Rattus norvegicus: one gene and its partner. The protein of the gene in region 1 interacts with the protein of each later gene in a pairwise test. Links are inferred from orthologs where the notes say so. Each region holds a gene or a part of one and is shown on either strand. Other genes may lie near its edges.

The links.
Region 2: the proteins of Eea1 (region 1) and Rab5b interact in binary tests that used the Homo sapiens proteins (3 or more experiments, as listed by UniProt). The link is inferred for Rattus norvegicus from reciprocal best matches to the Homo sapiens genes EEA1 and RAB5B.

What each region holds. Positions count from the first base shown.
Region 1 is NC_086025.1:32,578,455-32,582,103, forward strand, and holds part of Eea1 (early endosome antigen 1), read left to right. Parts: intron 1-168; coding exon 169-308; intron 309-2,016; coding exon 2,017-2,347; intron 2,348-2,513; coding exon 2,514-2,615; intron 2,616-3,502; coding exon 3,503-3,649. UniProt on the Homo sapiens protein: Binds phospholipid vesicles containing phosphatidylinositol 3-phosphate and participates in endosomal trafficking.
Region 2 is NC_086025.1:1,710,179-1,713,927, reverse strand, and holds the start of Rab5b (ras-related protein Rab-5B), read left to right. Parts: upstream 1-1,191; 5' UTR 1,192-1,359; exon of another isoform or gene 1,360-1,453; intron 1,454-3,749. UniProt on the Homo sapiens protein: The small GTPases Rab are key regulators of intracellular membrane trafficking, from the formation of transport vesicles to their fusion with membranes.

The sequences.
Region 1 (3,649 bases):
CAGAACAACTTCTCATTCAATGGTGGTTTCAGAATGGGTTTCTATAAATATATTATAAATATATTATTTGTCTCTTTTGTCAATAACAATTTGAATGTAGACCAATGCTATAATATTTAATCATTAGTTATTGCCAAAATTCAAATGAATGCTGTATTTCACCCTCAGAAACTAGAAGCCAATAATCTTGAAGTTAAAGCAAGCAGGGAGCAAGCTGTGCAGAGCCTACAGCAGCAGAGGCAGCTGAGCACAGACCTAGAGCTCAGGAATGCAGAGCTCAGGAAGCAGCTTCAAGAGCAGAAGGAAGTGTAAGCGACCTTCTATTTTATATCCGTAAGCTTTCGGCTGTTCACACCGTTCACAGACAGGCATGAAGTGTGGTTTGTTTCAGTGTGTGTGTGTGTGTGTGTGTGTGTGTGTGTGTGTGTGTTTTCCCATGCACACAGTACTGGTTGTATATACTATCAATGTTAATGTCAGTGAAAAATAAGGCCTTCATTACTTGGTTGATGTTAACTTCATTTTCCATTGTTCACTTAGTTCTATAAATTCCAGTCACTCTTCAGCAGTAATATGGTACCATTTTCTCTTGAGCATTCATTTTGAGTTGTTCACCAGTTTGAAATAGTTAATATAAAAATTTTAAAACTGCAATTTGTATATATATCACCTGCGAACAGTCAAGTTTCTGCTTTGAGGTTCTAGACTAAGTACAGAGTGGATTTTTTCTCATTAGGAATGATTTTTTTCAACTTTGCCATGGGTCTTTGCAGCTTTGATGTTATTGGGTACATGTTTGGTTTCTCTGGCTGTGATGAAACACTAAAAGAAATCTTGGGAAGAAAAGGTTTGCTACACCTTACAGGTTAGAGTCCATCGTCAAAGGCAGGCAGGTCTAGGGGTGGAGGCAGGGACCTGGAGGCCGGAAGTGAAGCAGAGGCCATGGAAGACTGCTGCTTCCTTCTTGCTTCTCAATGGCTTGCTTAGTCTATTTCTCATACAACTCAGAACTCTGCGCTGGGCTAGCACTGCTTGCAGTAGGCTAGGCTAGGCCTTTGAACATCAGTCATCAAAGAAGTGAATCCAGGCTTACCACTAGCCAGTCTGATGGGAGCGTCTTCTCAGTTTGCTTGCGCCCATTGACAGAGAACAACCTGCACATTGAGGGAAGGACAACACCAGAACCAGCACACACTCTTTTTTTTTTTTTTAAAGATTTATTTGTTCATTACACTGTACACCGTAGCTGTCTTCAGACACACCAGAAGTGGGCATCAGATCCCATTACAGATGGTTGTGAACCACCATGTAGTTGCTGGGAATTGAACTCAGGACCTCTGGAAGAGCAGTCAGTGCTCTTAACCGCTGAGCCATCCCTCCAGCCCCCAGCGTACACTTTTAAAGATGGATTTTTTCACTTGCTCATTCTTGTAGCTTATTCATTCTGGCATTAAAAAACCCATGTATTAAAGGATCAATGATAACGGACCATTTTATAATCTGAAGTTAGATAAACCATTTGTCTTTATTTTTGAAGTAAAATGATTCCTTTAAAAATATCTTACATTATGTTAAAATATGTTTACATATGCTAAAATGTTTAAAAATATCTTACATTATGATATTTAAATTTATCAACATAAAATATGTTCTATATTTCTAAGGGAAGAGACAGAGTTCCATTTATGTGTAAGAAATAACACACTGATTCGGTACTTTATGGGGCCTGGAAAACCTTTGCTGGCGCTTGTAGACCCTCTAGGATTTGTTATCTGAATTTCTCTGATGACTTACGGTGGTGGACAAGACTTGATTAAGTTAGGGAATGGAACTAACTTGGCCCTTGCTAAGGAAATCATGTGTATCTAATGAGATGTTTTAAGGCAGTTTTCAGTGTTTTTAAAGTTATTTTATTTTTCCTTCTGAGCCATATAAAAAATTCAGTAATCACTTATGAATAATTTTGATTGATAAATTTTATATTACATTAATTTTAGAAATTCCTTTTTAATCCAGAGTATCTCATACAAAATTGGATCTACAGAATAAATCTGAAGCCCTTGAAAATATTAAACAAACCCTCACTAAGAAAGAAGAAGAAAAAGTTGTCTTGAAACAGGAATTTGAAAAGTTAAGTCAAGATTCAGAGGCGCAGCACAAGGAGCTGAGTGACAGGATGCAAGCTGCGATCACAGAGCTGATGGTGATGACAGCACAGAAGGACGCTCTCCTGGCTGAGCTCTCCACAACAAAAGGGAAACTGTCAAAAGTTTCAGATTCTTTACAAACCTCCAGGAGCGAATTTGAGAAAGAGAGTCAGAAAGGAAAGGCTGCTGTACTAGACTTGGTTAGTTGTTTATGTTTCTTTTCATAGGTAGAAGTCATCTTCTTAATTAAAGTGCTCTAATGGGATGTGTGTGGGGGCCAGTTTATTTCCCTTTATTTTTCTTTCTAACCTGATCAATCATTTGTAAGTTATTACAGATGTTTTCAGTGTGATATTTCTTTATTAGGAAAAAGCTTGTAAAGAATTAAAGCATCAGCTTCAACAACAAACAGAAAGTGCACTGAAGGAGCAGAGTGAACTGAAAAAGTCACTGGAGAAGGAGAGAGAGGTACAGTGCTCTCTTACTGTAAACATGTGGAATATAATGGGCTTTTTTGTTAATTTTTCTTACCCTGATACAGAAATCAAGAGAATGCTTATTTCTGCAAAATAAAATGGCTTATGTGTTTATTTTAAAATTGTTACTTGTGTTCTAGTTATCACTAACAAAGTTTAAATTCATTTAAAATGTAAGGGCCTAGTAAAGAAATGGTTAGTTGATTCAGTTTTCTTTTTCTTAATTGTATAAGAGTTTTAATTAGATAAGGTTAAAGAACATTATAGTTGAAAAAATAATAGCATCTTAAACTTACTTCATTTGTTGCCCCAGTTTTCTCTTTATTTCTATGATAAACACTGACCAGAAACAGGTTGGGAAGGAAAAGATTTGGCTTACCCATCCCCAGGCACAGCCCATCATTGAGGGAGGTCAAGGCAGGGACTCAGGCGGAGTCCTTGGAGACAGGCTCTTTACTAGTTTACTCCCAAAGTTTGCTCACTTAGGTCTTGATACCCAGGACCACCTGGCCAGAGGGCAGCACCCACAGTGGGCTGGGCCCACCCATGTCAGTCATCAATCATGAAAATGCCCCCCAGACTTGCCCACAGGGCAGTTCCTCAACTGAAGCTCTTCTTCCAAGATTGCTCAAGCTTAGGTCAAATTGACAAAAACCAACACCACATAGACAGTGACAATATTAGTGACAAGAAGATATTTCTGGACTTCTACACAGTAACCAAATGGTTCATGTCACTAATCGCCTGTGAATAAATCATACTTGGAAGGTGGCTAAAGGTTCAATAATATCTTTGAAAGTACTGTGTTGCTTGTAGCAGATACTCAGAGAATGTGTTTTCAATGAATAAATGAGTCAAATAAGTTTCAATTTCTTTTAGACTTCTCAACAGTTGATGATAGAACTCAATTCAGTCAAGGGAGAAGTCACACAGGCTCAAAATACATTAAAGCAGAAGGAGAAAGAAGAGCAGCAGCTTCAGGGGAACATAAATCAGCTGAAGCAAGCAACTGAGCAAAAGAAAAAG
Region 2 (3,749 bases), about 31 Mb from region 1:
ATCTCTTCCAGAGGTACAGTCAGCTGCGAGCTGTGGGCAACGAGCAGCCAGCACGCTGTGGTACTGGGAACAAGCCTTGGGTCTTCTGGGTTCAACCCTCAGTACCGGAAAAAATCCTCAGCAAAGCTGTCCAAATATTTTTTCAAATTTACAAACAATTGAGAAAATATCAACAATGTGAAAATTTAGGAGGCTAAAGTATCTTCCTTCAGACTACCACTTTCTGTTGTCACGGTTTTTACATGATCAAAACATTAGGCAATCCACCCAAAAAACTCGTGTTCTCTAATGCTCCACTAAGAAGAATTTACAAGGTAAAATTCCCCTGGTTTCAGGTCTTTCTTAATTTGACAGAGAAAGCGGGGCATCGGTGTAATCCAGGCCAAGGGGAGAAGAGAGAAGGTTAATACTGGTTTTTTGTTCGTTTTTTAAGACTATGTAGCTTGGAACTTTGTAGACCAGGCTGGCTTGAATCTCATTGAGATCCTCCTGATTGCTAGGATTAAATAAATGGGCCGCCAAGCCCACCCCTTGAGCCCCCCACCCCCAAACTGAGATCATGTTAATGAGGAGCCCGGGCTAGTCTCAAACTCACTAGTAGAGGATGAAGACCTAGCACTGCCTCCACCTCAGTCCACAGTGCTGGGATTAGGATTGCCACACCACACCCGACCAAAAGCCTTTCTAAGGCTTCTTTCGCGCTATCCTTGCCTGCCTGTCAAGTTCGGAAATTTCCCAGTACTGGTTAAGATTTCCATTTGACCCGCCTTCTTCACTCACCTGATTAGATGTTTACGAGTCAAAAGGCGGGGGAGGGGTGTCACGGGTGTCGAGGTTTTATTGGCTGAGGCACATGCCTGTCAGTGCTGCACTGCCCCCTTTCCCAGAAGCACTCTCTTTAATGGCTACTCATCCCGCCAATCTTCAAGGCTTCTCGTTTAGGTATTGGCTTGCGGCCTCGCCAGTCTGGTCCCCACTTGTACTAGTTGGTGACAGTCCCTCAAAGCCCGCCTTTCTCCAGAGGATTGGCGGGTGAATGCCCATATAGCCCACCCACCACGGTAGGCGGGTGGTCTTGGGATTGGCTGGAGCCTCCGCCCGCGAGGAGGAGGAGGAGGCGAAGGGGGCAGGAGTTTGGTTGAGCTGCAGCTGTTTGTCTGTTCCACACAGGCTTGGGCCCGACGGGGGAGACGGAGCCCCAGGTACCGAGCTGATGGAGCCCACAAGGGCAGAGGCGGAGGTCCCGAGAGGAGCGCAGCCTTGCCTGCGGCAGAGGCGGGTCGGGCCGACGCCAGGGCTCGAGAGCCTCCTGGAGCGGGCAAAAGGGGCTGTCCCGCAGGCCTAGTGGGCGCCGAGGAGGTGATCGGCAGGGCTGGGAGCCGAGCCTCTAGTTGGGAGGCGGCTGGGTTCTGGCTGCGGCCGCTCGGGGGCCGGGCGCGGGGACCCGGAGCCGGTGAGGACCAGGGCCTGCCTCGGGACTCTGAGCAGCGCGGTGTGGAGGGAGGAGCTGGGGTCGGGGACTAGGCAGTGAGGGAGGGGAAGCCAGCCCATTTGGCAGGAGGTGTGGAGGGGACAGTGCTACACCCAGCCCCGGGGGTAGCGGAACCTGGATCTCTAGAGACATCCACTGTCGGGGTTCCTAGCCAAATGAGAGGCATTCTTTTCAGGGAAAGTGACTGTTGAAAGGGGAACTAGGGGTACACTGGTGTAGCCGAGGGATTTGGTCCCTGAAGTAAATGAAGAATGCATTACTGATCTAGAAGACCAAAGTAGAAGGAAGTAAGCAGGGCCTGGTATCAGTTATGGGAACTTCTGGAATGATGGTGTATCTTGGAAGTTCCTTACTCTTTTGTTCCTTTAGTGCTTGGGTGTGGTGATTTGAAGTTTTGGGGTACTTCTTGAGTAGGGAATGAAGACAAAGTAAAATTATGTTTTCCATGGTTCCTGGTAGCTCCAAGCTCAGCCCCCCTACACTTTTTACCCTGACCTCATAGCTGGTCTTGACTGCACTCTTCTTTACTTTCTGTTACTGTATTCGTTGTTTTCCCTATTTCATGTACTGTGAGAGAACTAAGAAAATTTGGGAGTGCTTTGCTCAGTCTTTCCCACTTCATAATGCAGTCTGTGGTGACTACTCTTAACTTTTACCTAGAATTGAGGAACTCTGTCATCTGCATGAAAAGGGGCAAAGCAATCCCCAGCCATTTAAAAAAAAGAAAAGTACCATGTCTGTGAGACTTGCACTTGAGCATTTCCTAGGTAGTTAATGGAGGTCTCCACGCCAGGAACTGTGAGGTGATATCCCTGAAGGGATTTGGGAAAGAGTTGAGAAGTTACCTACCAGAAGGTTGGCACCACCCTTTCTTCTTTGTCCACTTATTCAGGAGTCATTTCTCTTTCTCTTTCTCTCTTTCTCTTTCTCTCTCTCTCTCTCTCTCTCTCTCTCTCTCTCTCTGTGCGTGTGTGCGTGTGCGTGCGTGTGCGTGTGCAAGCTACAATACATGTGTGGAGATCAGAGGACAACTCTTGTGGGTGTTCAGTACTCAGGCTTGGCAGCTTAGAAGATGGATTTATTAATGCCAGACAAATGGGAGTCCTCCCTCTCTCTCTCTCTCTCTCTCTCTCTCTCTCTCTCTCTCTCTCTCTCTCTCTCACACACACACACACACACACACACACACACACAGAGGAAGGGTTTTGCTGACCTGTCAAGTTTTCTATAGATTGGACCCTTTTGGTTTCTCCCTTAGGGTTCTGCCTCCTCTTTCTTTTCTGTACTAATGCTATTTATCACAGCATTCATTTTGTTCTCACTACATAGTGTATGCATATGTACTACATACATGCGGGATCCCTCAGAGGTCACAAAAGGTATTAGGTCTCCTGGAACTGGAGTTAAGGACAATTATTAGCTGCCACGTGGGTGCTGGAAACTACACAGGTCTGTGCAAGAGCACTAACCTGGGGCCGAGCCATCTCAGCAGCTTGCATCACTACGTTTCTTAATTACCAAAGTAACGCATATGTGAAAGTGTTTATGCTGCACAGACATATGTAAAATCTGAGTCCTTCTACACATAGCGTATTTCATTTAGGACAGTTAGAGATATTAAATAAGACTAAACAAGAGAATACTGTGGGAAGAATGAGACTGTAATTAGTGTGCACGTGAGAAAAACCCAAGCAGAGACAGGTTTTCTCATCTGCCCCAAGTGCTGTTCATTCTCCCCATTCTCGGTACTTTCTTGGCTGACACTCTGTTCTTCATTGTGTTCCTTTTGCAGTCCATCTCTATCAGGTTCAGAGCTGTCCTTTGACTTAGCAGCTGCTCTCTTCAGTGTTCATTCACACAGCCATGCACTGGGTAGCCTAGAAACTGCCCAAATGCACCAGCAACTTTCTTTTTTTTTTTCTAGTTTTTTTTTTTTTTTTTCCCCCGGAGCTGGGGACCGAACCCAGGGCCTTGTGCTTCCTAGGTAAGCGCTCTACCACTGAGCTAAATCCCCAGCCCCACGAGCAACTTTCTTATGGGCAAGAAAGAAACATCAGAATCAGAAACCCCATCTTCATTCAAATTTTCCCAGTACTTGACTGTCTCTTCCTTATCTTAGGGAGATGACAACCGTTCCAGACCCAAAAAGTTCCCATCTTTCTCTGAATTTGAACTTGACTTTTTTGACTTTCTGAAGCCCTCTAATATGCTCCTTGCACAGTGTCCAGCAAAAACCTCAGCCCCTCCCCACAGGTTT